Caenorhabditis elegans: one gene and its partner. The protein of the gene in region 1 interacts with the protein of each later gene in a biochemical or structural test. Each region holds a gene or a part of one and is shown on either strand. Other genes may lie near its edges.

What was found.
Region 2: the proteins of vit-6 (region 1) and ung-1 form a complex in vitro, tested with the Caenorhabditis elegans proteins (one large-scale study listed by BioGRID).

The regions. Positions count from the first base shown.
Region 1 is NC_003282.8:8,254,381-8,270,790, forward strand, and holds vit-6 (Vitellogenin-6), read left to right. Parts: upstream 1-6,792; coding exon 6,793-6,887; intron 6,888-6,978; coding exon 6,979-7,438; intron 7,439-7,495; coding exon 7,496-11,443; intron 11,444-11,491; coding exon 11,492-11,761; intron 11,762-11,804; coding exon 11,805-11,987; 3' UTR 11,988-12,079; downstream 12,080-16,410. Other genes in the region: K07H8.7 (Lipoprotein), read right to left, coding at 4,868-4,997, 5,048-5,173, 5,242-5,364, 5,448-5,599; K07H8.8 (sulfotransferase family protein), read right to left, coding at 12,372-12,511, 12,564-12,721, 12,934-13,074, 13,127-13,258, 13,347-13,489, 13,531-13,721, 13,917-13,968. UniProt on the Caenorhabditis elegans protein: Precursor of the egg-yolk proteins that are sources of nutrients during embryonic development. May play a role in cholesterol uptake. May be involved in thermotolerance.
Region 2 is NC_003281.10:11,966,551-11,982,960, reverse strand, and holds ung-1 (Uracil-DNA glycosylase), read left to right. Parts: upstream 1-8,870; 5' UTR 8,871-8,871; coding exon 8,872-8,930; intron 8,931-8,975; coding exon 8,976-9,648; intron 9,649-11,221; coding exon 11,222-11,338; 3' UTR 11,339-11,494; downstream 11,495-16,410. Other genes in the region: Y56A3A.31 (SOSS complex subunit A homolog), read right to left, coding at 195-407, 8,435-8,455; Y56A3A.30 (SP-RING-type domain-containing protein), read left to right, coding at 3,898-3,959, 4,120-4,826, 5,161-6,153, 6,844-7,329, 8,702-8,757; Y56A3A.28 (C2H2-type domain-containing protein), read left to right, coding at 11,603-11,695, 12,452-12,592, 13,593-13,940. UniProt on the Caenorhabditis elegans protein: Excises uracil residues from the DNA which can arise as a result of misincorporation of dUMP residues by DNA polymerase or due to deamination of cytosine.

The DNA of each region.
Region 1 (16,410 bases):
TCAGCCAGCTTTTTCCAAAGATTAGTGAAACAAGAAAACAAAGAAACAGGATCAAACGGGAAGCTGAGAGATGTTGGAGAAGGAAGGAGAAGTCACAGCTACCGTATTGGATGCGGAGAAGAATCGGATAATTAACTGAAATACGTCACGCACATATGGGTGATCGAAAACCTTTTTTTCAAGCGGAACAAAAGATCAGAATGTGAAGTCTCAGACAGTCAATTGAAAATTTATAAGGGAACGGAAATTGATTAGTTGAAAGTATAAACAGTTGTTCATAAATTAAAATTATACGCTATGTAAGTACTTGTTTAGAATTCTCTGGTCTTCTCTTTATTCTGTCATATTTTTCGGATACAAAAGTTTTGGAAACTTTTTTATGTCGTCCCAAAATGAAAATCCGCTCATTTTTTTCTGAAATTGTTACATCGCATTTAGTTTTCCTAAAGTTTTTCATATGGTGAAGTATTCAAAATTAATAAAGAGTTTTTACAAAACCATAAATGTTTGGTTAAAATATTTTTAAAAAAATGAATCAATTTTTGAAAATTATATTTTGACGGCGAATTCCGCCACAGGTTTGTTATTTTGCAAAACAATTATGGAGTTGTTAACACACTTTTTTGGGCACTAAAAAAGTATCAGCGAAGAAACGAATAGATAAGATCGCAAATATTTAAATAAATAAACACTGAAAATGTGAAAGAATTTTATAAAAGTTTAAAACATTGGCAATATTCAATTCCAGAAAAAGAAAAAAGTACCTTTAAAATTTTTGGTTAATTTTGATTTGTTTAACGTGTTTAGCAAGTAATACTTCCTCGTAAAAGAATAATTGAGATATTTTTGGCATAAGAAACCTATTGCCTTTTGTAAACCGGTACAATGCCTAAATAATTTTCATTGCACACTTTTTTTTTAATTACCCAACATTCTTGGCAAGCTAATTTCACCAAAATATATTTTCTAGCTCTTCTCCTTTTATAACCGGTACTTATTTTTAATCAAACTACATCGAAACAACCAAATTGTGCATCGGAGTATTGCAGAGATAAGATGCTGATAGCATCGTACTTTGCATGTCCTTGTAGCCTCATGACATTTCATCTTATGAACCACCGCGAGGTAAAAATGGAACATTAGATGGATTATCCAAGAAAGACTTCAAAAATCCAGCAGGGGGTGCAAAAATAGTTTGAAAATGACATTATCGATTTTAAACGCATTGGAACATTAAAACATTCTCAAAAATTAGTGGCCTTCATTCCGAGATGACAAACTTTTTGGTGGCAAAGGTTCTTTGGGGGCATAGTATCCAAGGAGACAAAGTATCCAGTAGACAAACTGGGGTGTATCTTGGGGGGCATATTTTTGGTGACAACCTTTTTTTCAACTAGATTTTTGTTCACATTTTTCTGGAATAAGTTTTTTAATGCAATTTTCAATCGATTATCGGTTATAATTCCCTCACAATTGAATGTATGAACGATGGTCTTTTGGGAAAAGCTGTAAAACGTCCAACTAACTTGGAATATCGTGAGGCTCTTCCTGATGGTCTGATCCTTCAGCTCCGAAGGATCGTAAGGGTACCTCCTGATGGTCTGATCCTTCAGCTCCAAAGGATCACGAGGCTCTTCCTGATGTTCTGATCCTTCAGCTCCGAAGGATCACATGGGCACCTTCTGATGATCTGATCCTTCAGATAAGAAGGATCGTAAGGGTGCCTCCTGATGGTCTGATCCTTCAGCTCCGAAGGATCGTAAGGGTACCTCCTGATGGTCTGATCCTTCAGCTCCAAAGGATCACGAGGCTCTTCCTGATGTTCTGATCCTTCAGCTCCAAAAGAACATGAGGCTCTGCCTGATGATCTGATCTTTCAGAGCCGAATGATCACATGGGTACCTCCTGATGTTCTGATCTTTCAGCTTCGACGGATCATATGGATTTTTGACAAAATTTGAAAAAAAAATTTTGAAAAAAAACTCGAAATTTTTTTTGTTATTCTTCATTCTTTAAAGAATAGTTCAAATTTATCATGATAGGACCGAAAACTTTCAAGAAACAGTATAACTATACATGATAATCAGCTTCTACCAAATAATGATAAATTCTCCGCGATGACAAACTTTTGGGTGACAAAGTATCTTGGTGGACAAACAAAAATTACCGAAAACTGATGTAAGGAATAGTGAAATAGAGTCCTATGGACTATTAAACATGTTCAGTAGGTGTATTCAGGACTGTCCGTCAAAATAAAAAAAAGTTTGTCAGACGAAGTTCGAACCTGGGACCTGTAGGATGCAAAGTGCGCTCACTACCACTACACCAGCTATGCGAAAGTCGGCCAGCCTCATCGAAGGCTATAATAAAACTTAGTTCGCACGAGTATGATCGACATTCAACAAACAGTAATATCTCTCAACAAGAATTTCTTCATGGAATTGAGGTCATTTGACTATTTTTATCGGTTTTTCAAGTTGAGCATAGGGTCTTTTAATTTTTTGAGCATAGAAAATCATGAAAGCTGCCTGTTCCTTGGAAAAAAATAAAAAATAAATTTTAGGCCTAATCAAATTTTTTCCGGATATTGTTTTTTTGTCATGATTATATGTTTTTAAATTTTTTATAATGTGTTTTATAATTAAATTCGCTATTATTTCCATCGTAATGTCCTTTTCGAGGCAGAATTTGCATTAAATTTCATTGAAAGTTTCGTGCGTCAAATAGGATGCTTCATACGCAAACGTAAAGTACGCAAACACCGACCGTATACCGTATTCATCGAAACAAATTAAATTTTTTGCAACATCTATTTTTCAGCTCGAACTGTTAAATTTTGCTTGAAATGAAGGAAATAATGACGAATTTTGTTATAAAACACATTATAAAAAATTTAGAAACATATAATCATGACAAAAAAACAATATCCGGAGGAAATTTGATTAGGACTAAAATTTATTTGTATTTGTTCCATTTTTCGATATAATATTATCATTTTTGTTCAACTTTCTGGTTCAAAATACAGAGATACACACAATGGACATGAAATGATCACTTTTCAGGAAATATTTTAGGCCAGATACGTCTATTTCGATCCAGGATACAAGGAACAGGCAGCTTTCATGATTTTCTATGCTCAAAAAATTAAAAGACCCTATGCTCAACTTGAAAAACCGATAAAAATAGTCAAATGACCTCAATTCCATGAAGAAATTCTTGTTGAGAGATATTACTGTTTGTTGAATGTCGATCATACTCGTGCGAACTAAGTTTTATTATAGCCTTCGATGAGGCTGGCCGACTTTCGCATAGCTGGTGTAGTGGTAGTGAGCGCACTTTGCATCCTACAGGTCCCAGGTTCGAACTTCGTCTGACAAACTTTTTTTTATTTTGACGGACAGTCCTGAATACACCTACTGAACATGTTTAATAGTCCATAGGACTCTATTTCACTATTCCTTACATCAGTTTTCGGTAATTTTTGTTTGTCCACCAAGATACTTTGTCACCCAAAAGTTTGTCATCGCGGAGAATTTATCATTATTTGGTAGAAGCTGATTATCATGTTTTTTTTTTCAAATTTTGTCAAAAATCCATATGATCCGTCGAAGCTGAAGGATCAGAACATCAGGAGGTACCCATGTGATCATTCGGCTCTGAAAGATCAGATCATCAGGCAGAGCCTCATGTTCTTTTGGAGCTGAAGGATCAGAACATCAGGAGGTACCCTTACGATCCTTCTTATCTGAAGGATCAGATCATCAGGCAGAGCCTCATGTTCTTTTGGAGCTGAAGGATCAGAACATCAGGAAGAGCCTCATGATCCTTTGGATCTGAAGGATCAGACCATCAAGAGGTACCCTTACGATCCTTCTTATCTGAAGGATCAGATCATCAGAAGGTACCCATGTGATCCTTCGGATCGGAAGGATCAGAACATCAGGAAGAGCCTCGTGATCCTTTGGAGCTAAAGGATCAGACCATCAGGAGGCACCCATGTGATCCTTCGGAGCTGAAGGATCAGAACATCAGGAAGAGCCTCGTGATCCTTTGGAGCTGAAGGATCAGACCATCAGGAGGCACCCTTACGATCCTTCTTATCTGAAGGATCAGATCATCAGAAGGTGCCCATGTGATCCTTCGGAGCTGAAGGATCAGAACATCAGGAAGAGCCTCGTGATCCTTTGGAGCTGAAGGATCAGACCATCAGGAGGTACCCTTACGATCCTTCGGAGCTGAAGGATCAGACCATCAGGAAGAGCCTCACGATATTCCAAGTTAGTTGGACGTTTTACAGCTTTTCCCAAAAGACCATCGTTCATACATTCAATTGTGAGGGAATTATAACCGATAATCGATTGAAAATTGCATTAAAAAACTTATTCCAGAAAAATGTGAACAAAAATCTAGTTGAAAAAAAGGTTGTCACCAAAAATATGCCCCCCAAGATACACCCCAGTTTGTCTACTGGATACTTTGTCTCCTTGGATACTATGCCCCCAAAGAACCTTTGCCACCAAAAAGTTTGTCATCTCGGAATGAAGGCCAAAATTAGTTTTATTCGCAAATTCCAAAGTATGCTCGTAAATTTTTGCAATGTTTTGTTACGTCTCGTCTGATCAAGTTATTTAAATCACCTGGAACGGTTTTTGAACGTATTCCTTTTCTGCAACTTTTAGTCTCCTGCTGTTTACAAAATATTCCATTCAGCCGAGCTGGAACGACCTTCACATCCCTTTTAACGCGCCATGGATCCTGTCGTGTATGCATTTAGTAACGGGATTGTCCTTTTCCAAATAGAATAAAAATCGATCTAAATTGAATCATACTTCATTTCCAACTATAATCAAGTTTCCATTAAATCGATCTATTTCTTTTCAGTCGGAGTCAACGTTGATTTGATCAGCTTATCCGCAAACTGCACCTTCTTTCCATTGGGCTTCTCAACAATTTTCCGCTCTTCTGGGACTGTTAATTTGGATATTCCTTTCTCGGATCTGAAATAATTTACAAATAATTGGTTAAAATTTCAATTAAAAAAACCAACCCTGCAGCTTTTCCTAATTCCATGTTAATAACTTGAGTATGCTGTGAATCCGTTTCAGTTTTCTTTTGCAATGTGGTTGCTTTTTGAAGGTTTTTCTTTCCACGAAGCATTTTTATAGAGTTCTGGCTGAAAAATAGAGTTTCAAGTAAATTTGTTAGCTTTTCAATTTTCATTTGAGGGAAACAAAAACTTACATAACACTTTTCTTACTCTTTGTTTCTTCTTTCGGTGGCTCTGGTTTTACCATCACACTATCTTTTGGTATTGCAGTTGTTTCAATTGGAGACACAATAGAAGTCGACGCTGATTTTTTTGTACTGGAAACAAATTGTATTTTGTGGCACAGAATGGGTGAAATTAATTATTCCACAGAAAGGATTGCACTAAATAATAAACAAACCGAGAATCTGCATTCTTCGTTTTTGATCCTCCACCTTTTTGACTGCATAATATCAAAACTCCAGAAATCAGTGATATAATGAGTGCCATTGAAAAGATTTGTGATTTGAGAAGTATCAGATGAATATAGAAATTATTCCAATTTGAGAGCATAGTTGGAAATCTCACCAAATTTTGAAATTTGAAAATGAGTTAGTAATTTTTGAACAATCTGCCAGAGATTAATTAAAGATAAGGAATATCCACAAATTACAAATATTGGATATTAAATATGATTTCACGTCATAACTGAGATTTGTATAATATCATAATTGTACGGAAATATTTAGGTATTAGTATTTCAGCTCACAATCAGACTTTTTAATGAAAACTTAATTCAAAAGGGGATATCTTAAATATCATTACAAAACCTTGTTAGCAGCAGAACTAGAAAGTTTAAAAAAACACCGATTTGTGGTGCATAATGTACAAACATCCATTGACAACATTTCTTTAAAAAATAATTTTTTACTAAAACATTTTGAAGTCAAAATTAAATTTTTTCAAAAATAAAAAATTTACGGGCCTCTAAAGTAGTGGAAAATGCACAGCAAAGTATTCAGATAGACTTTTTTCTTGTTCAAAATGCACCTTTGCCACTAAACCGAAATTCTTGCCTTGTTCATTAATTGTTTCAAGTTTGTAGGATTTTTAGAACTTTGAAATATCTAAATTATTTGTATTCTGAAAAATATTATCATTTCGCAACAAAAAACTAGAAGCAGAATAATTTATTGTGAATCTTGCTATTTTTTATAGTTTGTGAAATTTTTTATACTTCCACATTTCATGAACAGTTTGGTTTGGCCACATGACTAAGGCGTGACCCACATAGAAAACATCAGGTGCCTTTGAAGCAATATTTCACATCTTCGCAAAGCTAAGGTCATTGTTATTTTTGCCATTTCATGACTATAATGGCATCATTTTATTCCCCCAATTTAACCAAAAGTCAGATGCAAAATGTTGAAAGTGTTGCAATTTCAAAGTAGAAAATGTAACTAAACTGTCAAAGAAAATTGTCATACTTTGACCAGAAACCATCTCCCCATCCACCTCCCCTCATCGGAGCCACCCGCCAATCCCAAAATGGTACCTAACATTACTGACACTCTCCCGCACTCAACAATTGACACCTGTCTCAATGACTGATAAGCATGCTGAGTCTCTTCAATCCGCATGGTCTCTAAGCTACTTTCAGAATTGCAACATGCTGCGATGGACATCTTGTCGAAGTTTAAGAGTATGTATAAAAGGACACGAGCTTCATGTATTCTTCACTCGGTCACTTAGATCGATCAATCACTATGAAGTTCTTCATAGCGCTTGCTCTCTTGGGAGCGGCACTCGCCTCGACCCATTTGGATCGTTACAACTCCATCGAGAGAAATATTCAAGAATCGTAAGTTACTTTTTAAATCATTTTTGAGAGTTGACCCTTTTTATATTTCAATTATTTTCAAAAATATCAATCACATTGTACTCCTTTTCAGCTCATTCCGCGCCGGACGCGAGTACCGCTACCTCTTCAATGGCCAGCTCTCTGCCGGACTTCCAGTCCCATCTACCCCACAAGGAATCTCACGTCTTCAATCTCAAGTTACCCTCCAATGGACTGATGGAAACACCGTCCGCATGCAACTCCAGAAGACCCGCTTCGCAACCTCTCAGCAAGAGTCCAACTCCATGAAGATGCTCCCATTCGAGCGTTTCGAGGAGGTTGAGCGCATGAACCGTGAGCACCAAGAGCTTTTGAGCATGCCAGTTGAGTTTGATTACGAACACGGACTTGTCAGAGAGATCCGTTTTGCTGAGAACGATCAGCCATGGTCAGAGAACATCAAGAGAGCCGTCATCAACATGCTTCAAGTCAACATCCTCAAGAAGGAGAAGTACGAAGGAGCTGAGAAGAGTGACAACCAAGAACCAACTTTCTCTTTCACCAATGTTGAGGTAAGTTCTAAATATACATATATATTTGAGTTCGAAATTTGAATAATTGAATTTCAGCGCACCCTCGAAGGAGAATGCGAGGTCCTTTACACCGTTGAAGAGATCAAGAAGGAGGATGAGCAACGTTGGGCTAAGTCGATCAACTTCGACAAATGTACCCGCCGCCCATACATCCATCACGTGCAGACTCCAGTGTGCAAGGATTGCCAGCAAACTCTTGAGCAAGACAAGATGAGCTCCACAGTTCTCAACTACAACATCACTGGAACTTCATCAAGCTTCCTCATCAACTCCGTTGAACTTCGCTCCCAACACCTTTTTGCCCCAATCTCCGAGAAGCATCAACTTGTTTCTGCCTTCACCTTGAACACCATGGAGCTTATCTATGCTGGAGAGAAGAAGACCGAGATCAAGCAAGTCCGCAATGAGAAGACTTCCGAGCTTGTCTACAACCAGGAATCCGAATGGGCTGAGCAACAATGGGCTCAAACTGGAGAGGAGAAGTACCTTAGACAACTCCCACAATGGACCGAGAACAAGGTCGAGATGATCAAAAAGATGTTCTCTTTGATGGCCAAGCAAATCGAACAAGGAGAGGCTGAGCTTGAGGCTGCACACACTGTTGCCAGAATCGTCAAGGTTCTCCGTGAGTGCAACGAGGAGCAACTCGAACAAATCTACCGCCACGTCGCTGAGCACAAGGATGAGAAGATTGCTGAGCAACTTCGCTCCATCTACTTCAACACCCTTGCTCTCGCCGGAACTCGTGTCACCATTCAACAATTCGTTGACAAGGTTCAATCTCGCAAGAACATTGCTCCACTCAAAGCCTCCGTTGCCATCAAGACACTCGTCGACATGCGCTACCCATCTCTTGCTATTGCTGAAGATATCGCTCGCCTTTGCGAATCCGATGTATCTTCAAGCTTCCCAGCTCTTCGTCAATCCTGCTGGCTCACCTACGGAGCTATTGTCAATGGAGTGTGCGGACAAACCCCAAGAGTCTTCGTCCAGAAGAATGGAGTCAAGATGTGCCCACGTGATGCTAAGCAAAGAATCGTTGACAAGCTCGTCCAACAATTCGAATCTGCATCCACCCGCTACGAGAAGGTTCTTGCTTTGAAGACCCTTGCTAATGCCGGACTTGATCTCTCTGTCTACCCACTCGAGAAGATCATTCTCAACGAGCAACACGAAACCACCATCCGCACACAAGCCATCGAGTCATTCCGTCGTCTTCGCACCCAGATGCCAACAAAGATTCAACGTGTTCTTATGCCAGTCTACCTTAACCGTCAACAACCACAACACATCCGCATGTCTGCACTCCATCAGATCATCTACACTCAACCAGAATGGTCCGTCCTTTCCCAGATCGGAAACCAACTCAGACAAGAGCGCAACCAACAAGTTCGTGCCTTCACCCTCTCCCTTCTCCGTTCTTATGCTAACAACGAGTCTCCATGCGAGCAGACATTCTCTTCCCGTGTTCAATCTCTTCTCAACAACATCCCATTCTCATCCCAAGAGATTGATCGCTTCGAGTCTGTCTATGGAAAATGGTCCACCTACTCCAGACGCCACCAATCCGGATTCGAAGCTAACTTTGCTTCCCTCTTCACCACCGAATCTGTTCTCCCAACCGAGATGATGGCTTCGATTGAAGGAGTTCTCTCCGGAGAATGGAACCAATACTTCGCTCAAATCGGATTTACCCAGAAGAATATGGAGAAGATCATCAAGAAACTTCTCTCCAATGTTCAAGAAAAAGGACTTGAACAAATCGTTGTTCGCGGAAAGAGAGCTTCCGGATCCTTCCAACCAACTGAATTCTTGAGCAACCTTCTCGAGAAGCTTCGCATCACCCGTCGTCAATCATCTGAGCAAGATCCACATGCCTTTGTCTACATCAGACACCGTGATATGGACTACGCCTTCCTTCCAATTGATGCTGACTCAATCCCAGAGGTTGTCCGCTCCATGATCCAAGGAGGAAGACTTGAGATCGGAGATATCGAGAGAGTCCTTGCCCAAGGAATCCACTTCTCTGCCTCCAACGCTGCTTTCCTTTACGAGACCGTCCGCAGAGTTCCAACTCCAATGGGACTTCCAGTTCAATTCACCTCCAAGATGCCAACCATCTCCTCCATCCGCGGACAAGTAACTTTCGAGCTTGAGCCAAAGAACGGAAAGAGCTTCGACGGACTTCGCCTTCGTGTTCAAGCTGGGCCACGTGTAGCCTCCACCCACGTCCTTTCTCTTAGAGTTATCTGCCCAATCGCCGAGGTCGGAACCAAGTTCCTTCACCAAGCCGTCCTTAATACTCCAGTTGACACTGAGATCAGAATGAACTGGGAAGACAAGGTTGTTATCCGTGCTATCTACAACACCCCATCCGAGGAGAAGAGAATCGCCATGATCCAATCTCGTCCAGTCACCTTCACCCGCACTGTCGCCCCAGATGCTCGTCAATACCCAGAACCAATCGAGATGACCTACATGCTCCCAGCCCACAAACAACTCAGCCAATCTCTTGACCGTGAATACCCACAAATCCGTGTTCAAGGAACTCTCAACCGCCCAACCAGCGTGAGAATCCCACAATGGATAGTTGACAGCAACGTCGAGGTCTACTACAAGCCAAATGTTGAGCAATACGAGGCTATTTTTGAGCTTAACTTGTACAACAACTACAAGATGGAGAAGAACTACGAGAAGGTATACAAGAAGCATAACGGAAGAAGATATCTTGAGGCTGAGCCAGAATACGATGAGGAAGAGCACCGTGAGCAGATCACAAAGAAGTTCGAATGGCTCCAAAACGAGAAGGTCTACCAACACGTCGCCAAGTTCGAAATCAAGCCAGAGGTTGTCAAGATGGAGGTTGAGGCTGTCTGCAACAATGACTTCCACTTCTGCAAGACCCAAATCCGCGGAGAAGAGCTTAAGGCTACAATCCAATACGTCTACCCACAAACCCCAAGGACTGTTGAGGAGCTCAAGGAGCAAAAGTACCGTCAACTCGTTGTTATGGGAGAGATGAACTACGGAGAGAACACCATTCACATCAACATCAACGGACAACAATCCCAAGAACAAAAGAAGTTCGTCAAGCAAATTGAGCAAGCCCCAGAGCACGAGACCCTTCTCGAGGCATCTAGACTTGACCAATACCAAACTGTTGTTGAGTACGAGTTCGAGCCAAAGCCAGCTCAATACTTCGCCAGATACTGGAACATGGTTCAAGCTTATCTTCGCACCCAATACCCATGGACTTCCAGAATCGAGACCCGTGAGGAGCCAAGCCGCAAGAACATGATCCGTGCCACAATCAATGTTGAACCACGCCAACGTCTAACTGTCAACATGACTATCGAGACCCCAATGGAGACCACCGTTCTTGAGCGTGTCGAGCTTCCATTCAGACTTCCAACTGCCCAAATCCACTACCAGCCAAGAAACTCCCGCTACGAGCAGAAGCCAGTCATGGAGAAGATCGCCCATCACGCTTCCAAGCAAGCCAACTGTGTTGTCAAGAGCACCAAGATCAACACCTTCGACCAAGTTGCCTACCGTAACCAATTCACCCCATGCTACTCCGTTCTCGCCAAGGATTGTGGATCTGAGAAGAGCGAGCCCCGTTTCGTTGTCCTTATGAAGAAGATCAACGAGAAGAAGGAGTGGAAGAACGTCAAGGTTGTCTACGGAGAAAACGAGATTGAAATGTACAAGACTGAGGAAGGACTCATCTGCCGTGTCAACGGAGAAGAAATCGAGTACCAACCAGAATCTGAGATTGAGAAGAAGCAATACAACATCATCTGGCTTAACAAGAACACACTCAAGTTCGATTCTGATGATGTCACTGTTCAATTCGATGGAGTCAATGCCCGTATTCACCTTTCCGCTCTCTACAGAAACCAACAATGCGGACTTTGCGGCCACTACGACAACGAGAAGGAAACCGAATTCTATGATGCTGAGAACCAAGAGAACACCATTCCAGTAAGTTTCTTAATTTTGATACACAACAATAATCATCTCAATTTTCAGAAGTTCGCCAAGAGCTACTTGTACAAGGACTCCAAGTGCAACTACGAGCGTGAGATGTTCGAGAAGGAGGAGAACTTCCAACGCATTGAGAAAAATCAAGAGGAGGAGAAGGACCAAGAGATGAACTACGAGGAATCTCGCCGCGAGCAAGACGATGAGCCAACTGAGCAAGTCGCTATTGTCGAGCGTCAACACGAGATCTGCTTCACCCAGAAGCCAGTTCTTCGCTGCCAAAACGGAAAGTCACAGGAGTCCAAGAAGCAAAAGGTGGTAGTAGTTATACATTTCAATCAATTATTCTGTAACATTTCAGACCTCCGTCTACTGCCTCCCATCCTCCAACTCATGGGCTCGCCGTCAAATGCGCGAGATCCGCCGTGAGCCACTCGCCCAATGGCCAGAGCACAAGCTCCGCAACCTTCGTGACCAACCACAAATGGAGGAGCGCACCGTTCGCGTCGCCGTCGACCAGAAGTGCGACAAGTTCGACTATTGAACTACCTCTTCTTCACAATCATACACATCGTAGGACTATCTTTGTCAATTGAATTGTTTTATAGATTTCAATAATAAACAATTTCAACAATTTTTTGTTTGTGGAAAATTTACTTTAAACATATTCCAATTTGAACTGTTCAATTCAAACAACTCGGCATTTTGCCACAGAGTTCACTTCTACAGTCTCCTCTCGCACGTCGTCAGAGTTCACAAAGAGTTCAGATTTTTCTGTAGAAGTGCGAGGGAACTCTATGGCAAAATGCCGAGTATTTAGAAACATAAAGTTTATGTTGAAACAATCAGAATACGGAAATACAATTGAAATGCAACACCGGGGAAAATTGTCCGATTTCTGTCAATCATAGTTACTTGTTTAACCCGTCTACATTGAATACCCAAGATATAAAAAATCATAGTAATAAATTCTCTGTAAAGCTCTCCTGATAGCTCCATCTTCTTCAATAAGCTTTTCATATTTAAGTCGTAGAGATGTTCCAGATGTTGAGTGCTGGGTTTTTCCTTCTGAAAGTGTTGAAATTGAATGAAATCAAGAATGCAATTAAAAAAAGCTTACTTGAAAGTTCTTCTCTGACTTCGTTCAGATTTTCTTCTGGTACATTTCTATTTTTGAAAACGGTCAATAAATTATCAATCATCTTTATTTTTTCTGTCCCCGTACTCGAATATTGTATTACTGTTGAGTTCTTGATGTTGTTTTTCATATCGCAGTACCTGAGAAACCGTTGAACGATCTTTTGGTTTAAATTTTTGAAGATTCTCATGACTAGGAGAAATGGAAACATGAATTAGGCAATAGGCTAGACAAAAACTGTTATCTTGATCTTAGCGAGACATTATGTCTTTTGTCTTCTTGTAGCCTCTTATGAATTCAAAAGACAGCTTAAAATCCTGGCATGAAGAATTTAATGAAGTTGAGAACTCACCAAGTTTGAGGAGCAAAATGTGTGTCTGCTCCAGTGTAAACAGGAAATAGCATACTCATTCTAATTAAACGTCGATATTCTTTCTGCAAGAAACATCGGATGTCGGTTCCACATCCGTGACAAATATTTGTGTCCGTGTTACTAAAATTTATATTTTGCAGATCCTGATATTATCCTCTAAATCTAAACTTACTTTACACACTTCTCGGTAAATCCTGAAATGAACCGATCATAGGGATTTCGTGTGAAAATTATATTATCAAAGTTAGAATTCAAACTGCGTTGCACCATTTTAAAAGATTTCAATTCATTGTTTTCGCAAAATCTGCAATTGATTAAATTTTCATTCAATTCATTCAGTTTTAGTTGGGAACCAGCTGTAACTGCTGAGAACCAACACCGCTCAAACTTACCTTCCACCATACATTTCCGTTGATATTGTTCTGTTGTTTTTGGTGAAAGCCTCCGGATCTTGTATGTAACATATTGCGGCAGTTCCGATTGTAGACACAACTTTTGGAATAAGACAAAGAGATATATCATAACGAGGAGAAATCTGAAAGGGCTTAGATTTAACTGTGGCCTAGCGGAGCTTACTGTAAAATCTTGAAGATAATCATAAAATGGTGGAACAAATGTTTGATTAAAAGGTATATTGTTGCATTCTGCCAGTACATCATTACATTCTTTCGATTCAATTTCTTTCATTAATATTTGATATTTATCAATACTGAAACATATTGAAAATATGCCCATTACTACCAAAACCGCTTTCGGAATATACCTTTCTGAAAATAAATAAAACATTTAGAAGTAACTTCCCATTTTAAATGCTATAGCTGAAAAAGACTTTCGAAAAACACCACCAGAAACATCTCAAATATGAAACTTTATAGTGTGATTATTAATTTCAAAAACCAGCTAAATGTAAAATCATTGTTAGAAACAGTAAAAATAAGCAAACAAAATAAAATTTAACAAACCCTTTTTTCCGTAATAAAATTTATTTGAAGTTGTGCAATAGGGATTCAACATTTCCGTGAAATGTTCCAAGTCATCAATGTCGCCACCTTCACCACTATCCAGACGCAATAAAGGCTTCCGATCTTCGGCATAGGTCATCTGATAGGTATCGGAAAACACCATTAACGGGTGAGTTTTATGTATTTGACCGAGAAAAAAGCTCTTGAGTAAATAGAATCTGCATGAGGTAATTTTTCTCATTCACAGTTGAAGCCCTAACGAAAAAATCAAATAAAGTAAATACATAAATATTTAAACATTATATTCTGAGCAAAAAGGGAACTATTGGATTATCCGGTTGTCTAACAGATCAGAATACTTTGTATTTAGTTTGATAAACCATAACCGAAAGAATTGTTTAGTGTAAAAAGGGTTGTACTAATGTTGGTAGTAAAGGAGCGGCAAAGTGACAGAAAAATTTATTTTAAAATTATATGAAAGGATGGCATAAGTATTTAATAGGTTTGGTTAATTGCAACAAAAATGTGAAAAGAGCTGAAACATATAACTCGTCCAGGATAAACTGTTTAACTAAGACCAAACAACCAAGCATCGAATGGCATAAAAGAACATGCCACTTAAAACATTGACCGCATCAAGGTTTTTCGTTCTTTTAACTACCTGCCAAAATCTTTCAGCGCTTTTCCTGAGTCATTTTCCCTTCCTCCGCGATTTTCTGAAAACTCGTTTTCATCCGATACATCAGTCTCAATTTATTTTGTGTGACATTGCCGACTTTTAAAGAGCGAGTCTCGGAACGAAGCAGACGGAAAATTGAGAGAAATTTAAGATTAATTTGCTTATTTTAAGATACGAATACTATTTCTTTTTATTTTCTTAGGTTTATTTCTTAGATAAGCTGTAATGGTAGAAAAAAAAAGAAAAAAACGAACCTCGGGGAAATCAGTGGGAATGTTTTCATACCCTTGGCTTTATTGCAACGGGACAGTCAGAAAAATAAAAGTTGTAAGGCTTATTAGAAGAAAATATAACGGAAAAATCATATTTAATGTAAGCCTGTAAGACATATTTTGGGATATCATTCAAATCTTTATTTTTTCAAATTTTTATTTTCAAAAATAACGAATTTTCGAGAAAAAAAAATATTAGGTCTCCAAATAAGTTCCGGGTCAAAAATCATAACTTTGTTCGCTGCGTATCAATTTTTATGAAACTTTGGGAATTTATATTATCAACCATGCTCTTTCATTTGACAATAGTCACAAAATTTTTTGACCACCCCAAGTGGCCTAACTCGGAGCCAATTTTTTCAGGCATTTTTCTGATCTCGCTTCTTTTCAGTTTTCAATTGAGCTTTGTGTGCGGATTTTGCTTTGTTTAGAATACATTATTAGAAAACAACAAAAGTTTAGAAAAAAAAATTTTTTTTGGTTGGTCGTCAAAAAATGTTCAAAAACATTTTTGTCGAAAATTCTAGATTTTTCCTACAAAAATGATGTAACCAAGTGTAAACTATTTTTAGACATACAAAACATATCAATTTAGTTCGATACACTAAAATGATAGTAGAAAATACAATTTTTTCGGATAATTTTTTAGTTTTTTGAATATTTCTTGAGATTCAAATTTTTAACTCAAATGATTTATATGTGTAAAAATAGTTTACACTTGGTTACATCTTTTTTGTAGGAAAAATCTAGAATTTTCGACAAAAATTTTTTTGAACATTTTTTGACGACCAACCAAAAAAAATTTTTTTGGGCGGATTTTTTTCCAAACTTTTGTTGTTTTCTAATAATGTATTCTAAACAAAGCAAAATCGCACACAAAGCTCAATTGAAAACTGAAAAAAAGCGAGATCAGAAAAATGCCTGAAAAAATTGGCTCCGAGTTAGGCCACTTGGGGTGGTCAAAAAATTTTGTGACTATTGTCAAATGAAAGACCATGGTTGATAATATAAATTCCCAAAGTTTCATAAAAATTGATACGCAGCGAACAAAGTTATGATTTTTGACCCGGAACTTATTTGGAGACCTAATAGCTATGGTAAAAAAGAGTAGCTGACTAGTGAGTGAGGCGGAACATTCTCATTGTCAAACAAATCAAACAAATCCCTGTTTAAAAAAATTTTTGTATTTAAAAAATTGAAGAAACGTGGTCACTTTGTGAAGTTAAAATATAGCCTTTCACTTCTTTAATTAATTTCTTCATGTATTTTTTTTTTCAATTAATCCGTGAAGCCTCATTGGATTACTAAACCATCTTGCCACGTAGAAGATTGTTATCAATCAGTTAATCTGCCAATTCAGAATTAAAACGAATCAGTTCTTCTTTTTGCGAATTGAACATCATTCGTCAATCAGTCAAACTTGTGATTCTCGACCAAAAGAGTACAAGCTGTGAACAAGTTGCACGGAGATCAAAATGATAGGTGAGTATAAGTTGGACAGGAGCTTGAAAGTTTTTGGGCTTCAAATGCGCTCCACGGATAA
Region 2 (16,410 bases), on another chromosome or scaffold:
ATAAAACAATTTCAACTACACCATCATTAAATAAAAAAAATAATTTGACGGCTGTGACTCCAACAAGTTGGTAAAATTGAAGATTCTAGCTAAATTAAGCTATTTTTCTCGAAATTTTGAATCGATTTTGACAAACTTTATTCTCAGAAATTTTTGAGAATCATCAATATAAAATTCCCTCTTCAAATCGCTACCTGCGCCAGCACCCCTTTCGCCTGCTCAGTCAGCGTCGTCGTAGTTGATGATGGAGGCGTAGACGTTGTAGGTGTTTGAGAAGCAGCTGACGGAGTTCCAGCAGCGCCAGGAGGGGAAGATCCAGCCGAATTGCTTGCAAGTACTCCAGAACCAGCTAGAGGAGCAGCAGATTCGGCGCCTCCCAGCATTAGTGCTGACATACTTTTCTGGAACTATAGAGGCATTTTGTTTAGAGAAATGGGAAAAATTTTCGTTTAACATTCAAAGGAGTTTTGGTTCATAGCTGAGGCGAGTTTATTGCTGTTTTTGAAATTTTCGGCAAACTCGGCAAACCGGCAAATCGCCGTTTTTCAAATTTCCAGCAAACCGGCAAATTGCCGTTTTCCAAATTTTTGGCAAACTGGCAAATTGCCGTTATTCAAATTGTCCGCAAACCGGCAAATTGCCGTTATTTCCCCCAATTTGCCGGAAAAACTACATCTATCTTGAAAAATAAGTGAGAATATCTAAAGAAAACGGGAAAACACTTTCACAATTTTAAGTGTTTCCGTCTTATTTAAAATCCCTTCAAAAACTTCCGGCAAATTCGTATCCAGCAAAAATCGGCACTTTGCCGTTTTTGAAATCTTCGGCAAATTCCATATGTGTAACAAAACACATTGAGCAAAGATTGAGAATTTAGCAGAAATTAGGCATTTTTTCCAAACACTTTGGTCTGATTTTTGGGACACCAATTTCAAACTCCTCAGGTTTTTTTTTTCAATTATGCAATTTGAAAAAAAATGCAAAAACTGCCTGGAGAACCGTCCAAAAATCAATTTTTCACTTTTCCTAGAGACTTTGTTCATTGCAACAACAAAAAAAAATGTTCCAACAAATAAAAAACGATCTCGAACATCTGGCCTAGCCTGAACCCAAAATTCTCGTCCATCTGTCATTGGGCAGAAAGCAGCAAAAAAAACGAAGGACAAAAAAACGACGAAGAACGCGATAGAGAGACGGCGAGACGACAGACACGAAAGAAGAGTGGCCAAGTGCCATTGGCCTGTGTGCTGCTGCGGCGCGGCTCTGACTTCATTCAACAACACACGTGCCCTCCCGGCCGAACGTTTCTAGAAAATAAAGCAGAATATCCTGCGCATTCACGTGGTGTCAGGTTATCCCATCACGGCTTGATCTACAATAAATGCGCCATTTTTTTCCCCGGAAAAGTGTGACGTCAGCTCGTTCATCTCGTTTCCCGCATTTTTTGTAGATCACGAGTTTTCATTGATATGTTCACGTTTTCCATATTCAGGGAACACTGAACTCTGAGAATGCGTATCTTGCAACATAGTTGACGACGCGCAAAATATCTCGAAGCGAAAACTACAGTAATCCTTTACATAAATAAGACTACTGTAGCAGTGGTGACGGGGCCTGGGCCTGGCACCTGCAAAAAAATCGAGCCCGTAAATCGACACTACAGTAGTCTTTTAAAGGATTACTGTAGTTTTCGCTACGAGATATTTTGCGCGCCAAATATGTTGCGTAATACGCATTCTCGGAATTTTGTGTTCCCAATTTTCAAATATGTGAGAAATATTTGTTGTACATTTCCCAATATCCCGAATTTCTATTTTACCATAATTTACAGTAGGATTACGGTAAGAAATCGCAAAATTTCCAAAATTCCACACCGACCAATCACCAAGCCTGGCTCCACCCACTTTTGAACCAATCAGCGTTGATTGGCACGAAAATTGGCGCTGATTCGTCTAAATTCCTCCCGGCGTCAAACACCACAAAAACCTCCCGACCAATCAGCATCTTCGAGCTCCGCCCACTTCACCCGATTGGTTGAAGAGTGGGCGAAGCGAATCGCTGATTGGTCGCCTCATTTTGGAGGGAATTTAGCCAAAATAAGAAAATCTCGTTGGATTTCCATATTTTTTTCGACTTTTCTGGATATTTTAAGGCAAAATCCTTCTCCAAAAGTCTCCAAAAAAATTCCAAAAGCTTCTCAAATGTATTTTTCTTCTAAAAGTGCTTCCTCTCCAAATTTAAATTCATCAGCGTCTCCTCGAATTAAACATTGTCTGTCTGTGTCCCGGCGTCGTTCTATTTCTCTATGTCTCCAACATCATAATTTTTGTGAGGGCTGAACAGCCTCACTCTCGCCCTCTTGACTAGAAAAAAAACAGCCATCTCCTTTCCTTTTCTTCATTCCTTCCTCTTTTCCCAATTTTCTTTCCATACCAGTTGCACAGATAGTCTCGTTTTCTCTAGCCACCTTCAATTTATTGAGGAACATTGACCACATTACAATCGTCCCCAGTGCCGTGGGCAATACCGAAACCTGCCGTATGCCGTGGGAACACTGGGCACAGGCATATAGTTCACAATGGCATTTTGCTCTGATATTTGCTCTTTTTTTTATCGCATTGCTATCTATTTTCTGCTCTTTTTTGGTTTTTTTTGAAATTTTAAGAAATTCCAACTTTTCAATGTTTTCATGTACATAGAGCATCTTTTGGCAAATCCGCGATTTGCCGGAATTTTCAATTCCGCCAAAAAAATTATTTCCAAAAAATATTGTACTCTATATAGGTTTTACACATATTTTGTGGGCTTAATTTTTTTTTCTAGAAAATTGGCACACAAAAATGTGTAAAACCTATATAGATTCATCAGAAATTTTGAAATTTCCGGCAAATTGGCAAATTGGCGGATTTGAAATTTCCGGCAAATTGGCAATTTATCGAAAATGAAAATTTCCGGCAAATTGGCAAATTGATGGATTTGAAATTTCCGACAACTTGGCAAACTGACGGAAACCAAAATTTCTGGCAAATCAGCAATTTGTTGGAATTGAAAATTTTCGGCAAATCGGCAAATTGCCGAAAATCAAAATTTCTGGCAAATCGACAAATTGGCGGATTTGAAATTTCCGGCAAATTGGCACATTGCCGGAATTGAAAATTTCCGGTAAATTGGGACATTGCCGAAATGGAAAATTTCCGGCAAATCGTCAAATTGCCGAAAATCAAAATTTCCGGCAAATCGACAATTGACGGATTTGAAATTTCCGGCAAATCGGCAAATTGCCGGAATTTAAATTTACGGCAAATCGACCATTTGGCGAAAGTCAAAATTTCCGGCAAATCGGCATATTGCCGGAATGGGAAATTTTCGGCAAATCGGCAATTTGTCGGAATTGAAAATTTCCGGTAGATCGGCAGATTGACGGAATTGAAAATTTCCGGCAAATCGGCAATTTGCCAAAAATCTAAATTCCGCCACTTTGCCGGAAATCAAAATTATGGCAAATTGGCAATCGGATTCTAAAATAAAACTTCCGGCAAATCGTCAAATTGCCGTATTTCAAAATTTCCGGCAAATTGGCGGTTTGCGGGATATGATATTATCTGGCAAATCGGCAAATCGCCGGAATTGAAAATTTCCGGCAAATCGACAAACCGGCAATTTGTCGATTTGCCAATCGGCAACCGCTGTATAGAATTTGATAATTTTCTGAGTTTCAACATGAAAAAATATTTCAAACGATACATTTTCACATTCTTAAAATTCAGAATTTCTTGAAATTGAAAAAAAACCTTTTAAAAAAACTATTTCTCTATTTTTCCATATAAATTTCTAAAAAAATCGAGATTTTCCAATTTTCTTGCAATTTCCTTTCGAAATCACAACAATTTTCCAGAAATGAACGACGAAGACAGTGAGGAAAGGCGTCATCACCCTAAAGTACCCCGGCTTGCTAGGCAGTAAGTACTCAAAAATTGAAAAAATCGCTAAATTCGCTCCGACCAATCAGCATCCTCGAACTCCGCCCACACCACCTGATTGGTTGGGCAGAGCGAATCGCTGATTGGTCGGAAGTTTTTCGCGATTTTTCGTGCAACTTCAACAAAAAAAAACTTCCAGATCACATCCCGAACCACCTGGTCCTAGTTCAAGCACATCCAGCACTCCACTCTTCACCGATCCAACGATTCACACGATTCTCGATCAGATAGGCCAACGACTAGCGAGCTTCAGCGAAAGTGATGTGAAACGAATCAAAAACTACTTGAGCACTGTAACAGTGACACAGGAAGCGTGTGTTCTGTTGCTTCTGCCCAACAAAGAACGGGAGAAGCTAATGTTTGCCGAGATTGAAAGACATATACTGGAAAACTATGAATATAGTATGATAATTCATCGATATGTGAATGATGTGCTGAAGCATGCCATCGAAACACAGTTCGTTAATCCGGATAAACTCGACGAGAGCAACGATGCTTGGAAGGACGGATTGAAGATGATTAGCGAGCAAAAGATGAGAAGCTCGCGGTACACGGCAGCTCGGGCTCGAAGTCAGCGGTTCGCAATCGCGAATGATAGCTACTTCCCGAGGCCTGAGATTGTGCCTAGTACAGATCATCCTGTCTTCGCTTCAAGACCTTCGGTTTCTACCCAGGAGGTTCGAACTGGGCGCCAACAAATAGATCAGGAAGTTTCTGGCAGGAAGCGAGAATTTCATGGAAAGCTGATTCCGATCACAGGCGTGGTTGAAGAGCCAAGTGTCAGAATAAATGCCGAACTTCAGCAGTCAGAAACGCAACAAATTGGAGACAGTTCAGATCAAACAGGTAAGTTGTTTAGTAATATTGGCTTATTTCAAGCCAATTAGTACATCAGAGACAGGATTGCACGGCAATCGAATTTTCGGCAATCACCGAAATTGCCGGAAATTTTAAAACCCGGCAATTGCGGAAATTGCCGAAACTTTTGAAAATCGGCAATTGCCGAAATTGCCGACTGCTCAAAATTTTAAAAACCGGCAATTCCCGAAATTGCCGAAAACTTACAAAACCGGCAATTGTCGAAATTGCCAGAACTTTTTAACACCGGCAATTGCGGAAATTGCCGATTGCTCGAAATTTTGAAAACCGGCAATTGCCGAAAAATTGAATAACTTTTCAGATACTGCGACTCCGATAAGCGACATAGCCACTCATCAGGATCCGGAAAACGAAATCAGTCCATCAGTGACAGAAGGTTCCAATGATATTGCTGACGATGCTGGAGCAGGAGACGACTTTTCGGAAAGTACTACTGGAGCTGTGCAGCCTGAGCAACAAGCATCCGAGCACTCCAACTCGGAAGGTGTCGAGAAGTCAAGCTGCGCTGAATCTCTTAAAGAACAGCCAGATCAGTCGAGCCCAGCCGTTTCTAATACTGTTTCGGAAAACTCTAATACCGATAGTGAAATATGCTCTGGAATAGATCAAAATCCGAATTCGGATAACCTGGAATCTACGATTGATGTGGGTGAGCCGCTTCGCAACACCTCCGATCAGCCATCTCCTGATCCTTGTTCTGATGTCCAGATAGGAGTGAACAGCACCACCAAGCAATCCACTGATCCTTCTGTGAACGTTCAGCTTGGACACAAAAGCTCCGATCAGCCATCAACTGATCCTTCGGCACATGCTCAGTTGGAGGACAACTGCACCATCCAGCCTTCAACTGATCCTTCTTCGAACGATCAGCTGGGAGACAATACCTCCGACCAGAATTCAACTGATCCTTCTTCCGACGTTCCGATGGAAGACCCTGGAGAATCAGGATCAGCTGCTTCAACGCCTCCACCCGACTGGGATGTTGCAGAAGTTCCGATTCCTCAGTGTAGTGGCCACTCTGACGGCAATATCGGAGGCACGAATGAAGTTACACCACCGGAACAAGAAGCTCAAGTATTGGCTCCAAGACGTTCAGAGAGATCTCGTATAAAAAATATTTGGCTCAGCCGAGATGAAGTCGAACGATTGAGATATGAATTTGTGCCACCGCCGTCCAGAAAAGATATTCCGAAGTGCACTGCCAAGAAGCCCGAAGCTGAGATACCGAATGTAGAGCCAGAGTCCAGTTCAACTGTAGAATCACAGAGAGATGAAGATCAAGCGGTTGCGAGCGGTGAGTTCAGAGATATTGAATATTTTACATCAGGGGTGGGCGGAAAATCCGGCAAATCGGCAAATTGTGGGAATTGAAAATTTCCGGCAAATCGGAGAATAGTAAGAATTGAAAATTCACGGTAAATTGGCAATCTGCCGAAAATCAAAATTTCCGGCAAATCGCCAATCTGCCGAAAATCAGAATTGCCGGCAACTCAGCAAATTGCCGGAATTGAAAATTTCCGGCAAATCGGCGAATTTCCGAAAATCGAAATTTCCGGCAAATCGCCAATCTGCCGAAAATCAAAATTTCCGGAATTAAAAATTTCCGGCAAATCGGCACATTTCCGGAATTGAAAATTTCCGGCGAATCGGCAAATTGCCGGAATTGAAAATTTTCTGCGAATCGGAAAATAGTGGGAAATTGAAAATTTCCGGCGAATCGGCAAGTTTGCCGGAGTCGTAAATTTCTGGCAACTCAGCAAATTGGAGGAATAAAACATTTGCAGACCGGAAATTGTCGCCCACCCCTGTTTTGCACTACGCTTTGACAAGTGTGAATTTATTCGCTTTTTTTATTTGCCTGAATTTTGCCGATAAAGAAGATTTCCGGCAAAGTGGAAAATTGCCGGAATTTAAAAATTTCCGGCAAATCGGCAAAATGCCCAATTTGCCGCCCACGCCTGCTTCACAAATTGATTAATTGCAGCCTCTTCCGTAGCTGAACCTCTGGAAGAAGCCACTACAACGAGTGTGCCAGAGCCAACAGAGTTTCAATTGTCACGGGACATTTATAGCACTGTAAAGCCGACTGATGAGGCTCATAGCCCGCCGATTCAAGCCCAACCGAAGAAAAAAGCCACGCCAAGACGGAAGAAAGCAGATGACGTGGAAACTGTAGTAGCTGACGGAACAGCGACGATCCCGAAGCCGAAGAGAAAAAGGCCGCCGAGGAAGAAGCCTGAGCCGAAGCCGAATATCGTTTTTGAAACAACGCCGAATCCTCCGACAGAAAGCTTCGCAGCCAACAACAATTTCCAGCAGTTCCAGTTTCAAAATCAGCCTGGTAGTTGGACCTACAACAATGGATTCGGCAATGGATATGGGTACGGCGGTGGAACCACTGGATACATGGATAATCTTGTTGGCAGAGGGTTTGACACGGTTTCTCAGCAGCCTGGATTTCAGAATCAAGGTACATTTTTTAAAAGGAATTGAGAAAAATGTGCCAAAAAATTTTAAAGGTGGACTACGCTTTGTGGGGAAATTGCTTTAAAATACGCCTATGGTACCACAATGACCGAATATCATGATTAAAAAATTCAAAAATTTTTTCTAAATTTTATATGATTTTTTGAAAATTGGAAAAATCACAGTTTTCCCCTAATTCCTATTTGAATTACCGCCAATTGAATTTGTTCGATGGGGCGCGCTTGCACGTTTTTAAATTTATTTATTTTATTTTTTGTTATTTTCCACCGATTTTTAATGTTTTCGGTGTATTTTTGCTCGAATTTTAGAGAAAAAGTCAAAATAAATGCAAATTTTCGATTAAAAAGTGCGCTTACAGGCGTAAATCAGTGAAATTAATTAATTCAGGTTCGAAATCGTTTAAAAGCGTTACTTTTTCATTTTTACGCCTGTAAGCGTGCTTTTTAATCGAAAATTTGCATTTATGTTGATTTTTTCTCTAAAATTCGAGCAAAAATACACCGAAAACATTAAAAATCGGTGGAAAATAACAAAAAATAAAATAAATAAATTTAAAAACGTGCAAGCGCGCCCCATCGAACAAATTCAATTGGCGGTAATTCAAATAGGAATTAGGGGAAAACTGTGATTTTTTCAATTTTCAAAAAATCATATAAAATTTATAAATTTTTTTTTGAATTTTTTATCATGAAATTCGGTCATTGTGGTACCATAGGCATGTTTTAAAGCAATTTCCCCACTAGCGCTACCCCACCTTTAAAGGAATTGTGAAAATTGTGAAAAAAAAAATCAAAATTTCGAAAAAAAAAGCGCTAATTTTAACTAAAATCTCTAATTTTGGCCACTTTTCCGTGCTGCAGCGTCCGAAAGTGCACTTTTTTTGAATTATTATTCTTATTATTATACATTAAAAACCCCCGTACTCCTCCAATAACGCCAATATTATCGACCATCTGGACGTGACCGCGTGCAACCACGGCCTAGCTGCCGCCACCCCATTCAAACGAGACATTTCGGCGGGAGAGTCCTTTTTTTCGATAATTCGGATTTTTTTGTCTGTTTCAAGTAATTTTCGCCATAAAAATTACCATTTTCTTCTTCGGTGCCATTTCTAATGATTTTCCAGTGCGTTTTGAGTCTGAAAGTTTGAAAATAAGAGTTTTTGCACAAAAATGTGTGAGAAAAGTTCAAGAAAATCGTCGAAAAATTCAATAAATTAATTTTAAAATTTAAAAAAAAATTAATTTTTTTTAAAAATCAATTCTGTGCATACACCGCCACGCAAAAGTGCACACAATTACCTACCGTAGTCAATGCGAAATTAAATGATTTTTATCGATTTTCTTCATTTTCAGGTTACGAATTCACCGGTTTGCCTGCAAATAACTCGAATAATTTCCCATTTTTGTGATTTAATTTTTCAAATATCCTTATCTATGCCCTCAGGTTTATTTTATCTCATTTCCACTCGTGTTTTTTGAATAAAAATTCTTTTTTTTTCTTCTAGATTTCCGTTTATTTCAGAATGTCGAAGACTGTAAGAATTCCGGACATGTTCCTCAAAGCATCCGCTGCCTCTAAACGGTATTTCCCGCTCTGAAAATTCAAAAAAAACCACCGAAATTTCAGAAAATCCGCTTCAAATACTGAAAATATTCCGGAAAAAGTTCCCGCGGGCAATGAAAATCAAGAAGTCAAGAAAATGAAGTTACAAGCACCAGAACCAACTGAAATTCTGCTAAAATCCCTGCTAACCGGTGAATCTTGGTCGAAACTTTTAGAGGAGGAATTCAAAAAAGGCTATATTTCGAAAATCGAGAAATTCTTGAATTCCGAAGTGAACAAGGGCAAGCAAGTGTTCCCACCGCCCACACAAATTTTCACAACATTCAATCTTCTGCCATTCGACGAGATCAGCGTGGTTATCATCGGTCAAGACCCCTATCACGATGATAATCAAGCTCACGGGCTCTCCTTCAGTGTTCAGAAGGGTGTAAAACCGCCGCCATCGCTGAAAAATATCTATAAAGAGCTTGAATCCGATATTGAAGGCTTCAAGCGGCCCGATCACGGGAACCTGCTCGGCTGGACACGTCAGGGAGTGTTCATGTTGAATGCCACGTTGACGGTTCGGGCTCACGAGGCGAATTCTCACGCGAAGATCGGCTGGCAAACTTTCACGGACACTGTTATTCGGATTATTTCGCGACAATCGGAGAAGCCTATTGTCTTTTTGTTATGGGGAGGATTTGCTCATAAGAAGGAAGAACTGATTGATACAAAGAAACATGTAGTTATAAAGGTCATTATTTTTCTGGATAGAATTCTGGAAAAAGCATGGAAAAGTTGATTTTAAGATTTTTTCCCTAAAAATGTGTTGGAAAACGACAAAAATTGCCGATTTTCACCTGTAAAATCGGAAATTTTGCGATTTTGCTGGAAATTTAGGTAAAAATTGCCAGAAAACCTAGAAAAAAATTCAAGATTTTCCCATAAAATGGTAGTAAAATTGTCACTTTTCAGTTAAAAACTAAAAAAAATTCAGGGGTTTGCTCTAAATTTTCCCCTGATTCCGAATATCTATGTGAAAAATTGGAAAAAAACGTCCCTTTTATTGTAGAAAATCGACGATTTTCAAACGCGCGCCAGAGAGCCAGAGACGATTCTCATTGGAACGCACCGTGTTGTGTCGATTTACGAGATTTGTTTTTTTAAAGCCAATTTTTTGCTGTTTCTTCATTTTTTTTTTCGGTTTTTTGAACATTTTATTATTATAAAACTCGCAAAATTTCCTTATTTTTAGATGGAAAATGATTTAAATTCAGAGAAAAAAAACCGAATTTTTTCGATTTTTTCAAAGAAAATCGGAATTTTTCTTCTTTTTTTTTTTAAATAGAAAACCGGAATTTTTCTATTTCTTTCCAGAGAAAATCGGAATTTTTTCGTTTTTTTTAATTTTTTTCAAAGAAAATCGGAATTTTTTCGATTTTTTTTTTGATTTTTTAGAGAAAATCGGAATATTTTCGATTTTTTCAAAGAAAATCGGAATTTTTTCCATTTTTTCATATAGTTTTCCAGAGAAAATCGGAATTTTTTCCATTTTTTAAAAGAGAAAATCGGAATTTTTTTGAAATTTTTAAGGAGAAAATTAGAATTTTTTCGATTTTTTAAAAGAGAAAATTAAAATTTTTTTTTTCTATTTTTTCAGAGAAAAATCGAAAAACAGAAATTGTTTTTTAATCGAAAAAAAAATTCGAGAAAATTTCTATTTAAAAACTCCAATTTTCTCTTTAAAAACTCAAAAAATTCCGATTTTCTCTGAATTTACCTCCTTTTTCATCTAAAAATAGGAAATTTTCGCGGTTTTCTGATCATAAAATGTTCAATTGGCTCGAAAATACACAATTTTCAACGAAAAAAACCGATAAAAATGAATAAAAAGCTGAAAGCTGGCTCGTAAATCGGCACAAGACACAGCGCGCTTCAATGTCTGGCGCGCGTTTGAAAATCGTCGATTTTCTACAATAAAAGGGACTTTTTTTTCCAATTTTTCACATAGATATTTTAAACAAGGAGCAAATTTGGAGCAAAACCTGGAGAATCTTGTTTTTTTTTTTGGTTTTTAACTGAAAATTGACAATTTTACTACAATTTTGTGGGAAATTCTTGAATTTTTTAAAGTTTTTCTGGCAATTTTTGACATTTTCCACCAAAATTTAAATTAATTTCAAAGGGAAAAATTGATTGGTTTCAGACGTGGAAAATCGCAAAATTTTTGATTTTTGTGAAAAAAAAAACCTATTTTTTAGCGTATTTTAAAAATATTTCCACTAAACTCAAATTTAATTTTTTAAAAAATTTTAAAAAATTTCCAGACCGCCCATCCGTCTCCGCTGAGTGCTCGCAAGTGGTGGGGATGCAAATGCTTCTCGAAATGCAACACGGAGCTCGAAAATTCCGGTCGAAACCCGATTAATTGGGCGGATTTATGAATAAATTCTCCTGTCGAACACCCTGCGTCTCTTCATCTCACACACTCTCTCGCCACTCACTGAAGAACTCTGTTATTTATCGATTTTTCTATTTTCTCTTCATTTTTCCTCATTTTTTCCTCATTTTTTCGGTTTTTCATCATAAAAATTCGATTTTCTGGCCATTTTTTTGTTCAATTTCCAATTTTTCATTCGTTTCAACGATTTTTAAATGCTTTTCACGGAAATTGCAGCGAAAAATTGTTTTTTTAACAGAAAAAAAGAATGCGGCGACAAAAAACCGAAGAGGAACGGAGCTGGACTTCAATTTCTCGGCATTTTTTATGCCTTGAATGTAGAAAATATTTCCGGAATAAGGTAGAGAAGATAATATTCTAATTAAATCGCAGAAAATATATTAAAAATTGAAAAAAAAAAACCGATTTTTCCCAAAAAATATATTAAAAAACCGAAAAAATTCCAATTTCTTCTTTAAAAAAATTTAAAAACATTGAAAAATGCTAATTTTTCTTATAAAAAACGAGAAAATTCCGATTTTTCTCTAAAAATATATTAAAAATTGAAATTATTCCGATTTTTCAGTAAAAATATCAAAAAATCAGATTTTTCTCTAAAAATACATTAAAAAATCAGATTTTTCTCTAAAAATACATTAAAAAATCCGTTTTTTTTTTAAATTTATATTAAAAATCGAAAAATTCCGATTTTTCTCTTTAAAAAATCGAAAAAATTGCAATTTTCTCAAAAAAAAATCGAAAAAAAAATTCCAATTTTTCTTTAAAAATATAAATATATATATAAAAAAGCGGAAAAATTCTGATTTTCTCAAAAAAAAAATTACAAATTAAAAAAATCCGACTTTTCTCTAAAAAAATTATTAAAAATCGAAAAAGATTCCTATTTTAATTTAATACAAAAATTAAAAATCGAAAAAAAAATTCGATTTTTCTTTTAAAAAATTTAAAAAATTGAAACATTTCCGATTTTTCTCTAAAAATATATTAAAAGAATCGAAAAAATTCCGATTTTTCTCACAAAATAATTTAAAAAATCAGAAATTTTTTTTTTTTAAACGAATATTTCAATTTTAATTCAAAAAATTTCATTTTTCAGCGCGAGTTCTATTGGCACACCGAAGATTGTCTTATGGAAGCTTTTGAACGAGAAGTTGCTCTAAGCGTATCCCGTGGAGCCGACGAAGATATCGCTGAAAATGAGGAAGAATGGGATGATCAACCATCAGAAGAAGCTCTTGTTAGTACGAAAAATCTAGAAAAACCAGGAAAAAATCACGAAAAAACGCGATTTTTCACAAAAAAAATGCCTAGAAACATAATAAATTTGAGCCTATTTCAGATTTTTTGGAGCAAAATCAGGCCTAAACTCGAAAAAAATTTGCTCTGAAAAAAAATATCGAGAAAATTCCAATTTTCTGTTTAAAAAATCGAAAAAAATCCGGTTTTTTTTTTCGTTAAAAAATATATAAAAATCGACAAAATTTTCGATTTTTTTTTTTTTTAATCGAAAAATTCTGATTTTCTCACAAAAAATTGACAAATTTTCGATTTTCTGTAAAAATTTTAAAAAACGAAAAAATGCCGCTTTTGTCTTAAAAAAATCAAAAACTAGAAAAAACTTTCGATTTTCTCTGAAAAAATTTAAAAAATCGAGAAAAATCCGATTTTCTATTTAAAAAAATCGAAAAAATGTCGATTTTTTTTATCGAAAAATTCTGATTTTCACACAAAAAAAAAAAATTTTTCCATATATTTCCGATTTTTTCTTTAAAAAACCACAAAAAAAATCCAATTTTTCGTTAAAAAATATATAAAAATCAACAAAATGTTCGATTTTATCTGAAAAAATTAAAAAATCTAAAAATTCTGTTTTTCTATTAAAAAAATCGAAAAAATGTCGATTTTCTTTTGTTTTTTAATCGAAAAATTCCAATTTTCGATTTTCCGTAAATTTTTTTCAAAAAATAGAAAAAAATGTCGATTTTGTCTTTAAAAAATTCAAAAAAAACTGGAATAATCTCAAAAACCACAAAAATGAGAACCGCCCGACCAATCAGCGATTCGCCCGCCCACTTTTCAACCAATCAGGCGAAGTGGGCGGGGTTAGAAGTTCTCATTTTTAAGAGAATTTAGCTAATTCTTTCGCGATTTTTTAAAGTTTTTCATTTTTTTCTTTTGTGGTAATTTTTGAAATTAATTTAAATCGCCTAAAAAAAGCTTCAACGTACAATTTTCAGGGTCTTATAGCGAAAAACGAGGCGTCTCCGTCAAAACAACAACAACCACCACCACCACCAAAATCTTCACCAAGAAAACCGGAAAAAGCTCAAAAAGAGGAAAAAGTGATAGCAGGGCCACGTGGATCACAAATCATTGTATCAGTTGAGCCCCAAGTTGAAGCAGGCTTTCAGTCGGATGATGATGATGATAGTGAACCACCACTTTTAGTGTCACAAGTTGAACAGGAAAAAGAGGATATTAATGAAGAAGATATTGGAAATAATGATGATGAAGAGGAGGAAATGGAAGGAGATTTGGAATATGGAGATGAAGAGACTCCGCTTAGTTTTATACCTTCTGGAACGGTATGGGAAAACTTAAAATGTGCTCCTGATTCCGAGTATATATGTTTAAAAAAATTGGAAAAAATTTCCCTGATTTTCAAACGCGCGCCGGAGACGATTCACGAGATTTTTCATATATAAAAAATCGAAAAAATTCTGTTTTTTCTCAAAAAATATTTAACAAACCGAAAAAAATCCGATTTTTTCTTTACGAATATTTTTTAAAAATTCCAAATTTTATCAGAATATATTTTAAAAATCGAAATAATTCCGATTTTTCTTTCTAAAAAATTATTAAATATATTACAAAAATATAAATAAAAAATTAAGAGTGGAGCGCCGAAATGCCCCTGCTGCTCGTATTGCCAGGCTGTCCCACCACGGTTTGATCTACAAAAAATGCGGGAATTTTTTCGCCCAAAAAAATGTGACTTCAGCACGTTCCTAACCATACGAAATCAGTTGAAAACTCTGCCGCATTTTTTGTAGATCAGCGTAGATCAAACCGAAAGGAGCCACACTTTGACACCACGTGCTGATTCCGAGTATATATGAGGAAAAAATTCCAGAAAAACTCTTTTCCAGCAGAAAATCGCGAGGAGACGATTTTCAAACACACGCGCGCCAGAGACGATTCTCATTGGAGCGCGCCATGTTGTGCCGATTTACGATATTTTTTATTTTATGCCAAAAATGCAATTTTTTCTTCATTTTTTTTCTGCACTTTTCCTCTTAAATCGCGTGTGTGCCACGGGTAGGTGTTTTTGAAAAAACTTTTGACATGCGATGTCCGAAAAAAGTTGTCCGAAAAAGTTTGACCATGCGTCATTGTTGCCACGGCTTATAGCTCGGCGCTGGATGGATGAAAATTCGAGTTCTTTTTTTTAATCTCTTTAAAAAGGGTTTAACTACATGATATTTTTTACCGTTCTCAATTTGAAAAACGTTGAGCAAACTTATGAAGCTCCCAAAAAAAAGTTCTCCAAAATTACCCAAAAAACACCCTAAAAATCGCTCTAAAACCCCTTTTTCAGTGCAAAGAAGAAGTCGGATCAATTTCTGTTCCAGAACTTTTTTAGTTTATTTTTTGAGCCCGATTTTTTGAAGCGGATTACAAGCTGATTGACCCAATTTCGAAAATGTAGGCCATCATTAAAGTTTTCGAAAAACTAAAAAGATGAACAAAAATATGTAATACGTGAAAAACTCTCTCTCCACTCTCTCTCTTCCTCTGATTTGGCAATTTTTCATTTCTTATTTATCACGCAAAGAGAATTAAATTATTTCAATGGTTTTTTAAATTTTTTTTGCAATTAAGAAAGAGTACAAGTAGAAGCTTTGGACAACTGTTCTTATTCTTAATCTAAATTTCTGAATTGTAGGCTTTTACTGCCGGGTCAGCGCGCCGCAGGCGCTCTGAATCTAAATTATAGGCAGAGCAGGCCGAAGGCCTGCGATGTCATGACAGCTTTCTCTGTAGGGTCAGAGCGCCGCAGGCGCTCTGAATCTAATTTATAGGCAGAGCAGGCCGAAGGCCTGCTATGCCAGTCGGCTTTTACTACCGGTTCAGAGCGCCGCAGGCGCTCTGAATCTAAATTATAGGCAGAGCAGGCCGAAGGCCTGCGATGCCATGCCAGCTTTCTCTGTAGGGTCAGAGCGCCGCAGGCGCTCTGATTCCAAATTGTGAAGGACATACAAAAATATTTTACTCTGTGTGGGGTCGAACCCAGGGGTACCCACCTGACAGACCAGTCCTCTACCACTTGTCCATGGCGCGCGCGCCGCCACACACTCTGCGTGCGCGCCCCTCCTCTTTCACAGCAGCCGACGCCTGTGCAGGACCTTGCACACCTCTCCTCCCCTCCCCCTTCCTGCTCTGCGAGCCCGCCCCTCCTCAAACTTCAATCGCTTATATCTCCGCTCATAGTTGTGATAGAGACTTCGTTCTTTGAGCAATCGATCCCAAATTTCAAGGAGATCTCGAATAACACCAACACAGGTTCGAGGCAAAGCCGAGAACCTGCGCCAGCTACCTTTTCGGGCATCCCCATTCCCGAAGGTCTGGCGCGGCTTGCCGCGCTAGTCTGCATTTTCCTCTTAAATCGCGAGTGTGCCACGGGGGGTCGTTTTTGAAAATGCAATTCCTCCGCAAATGTCAAAAAAAATGTCCCATTTCGGACATTTTTTTCCTATTTTTGTTATTTCACGAGATTTTCCAGGAGAATATACAACTCGACGAGGCGCGTCTGTTCACCTAAAAATCATTTCGATCTGAGCACTTTAAACCTCTTTTATTGAGCTCCAAACCGTGGTGCGCGCTCTTTCACCCGCCGCATCTCCCCCTTGGTGTGTTTTTTTGGGTGCAATCCTCAAACCACCGCTTCGTGCGCTGTTCTCTTTCACAAATCTTGGGTTTTAAGGTGAAAGTATTGTAGAGTAAGCTTCTGGCTACATCTTAAAGTAAAATTTATTCCAAAAAAGTTATTTTTTC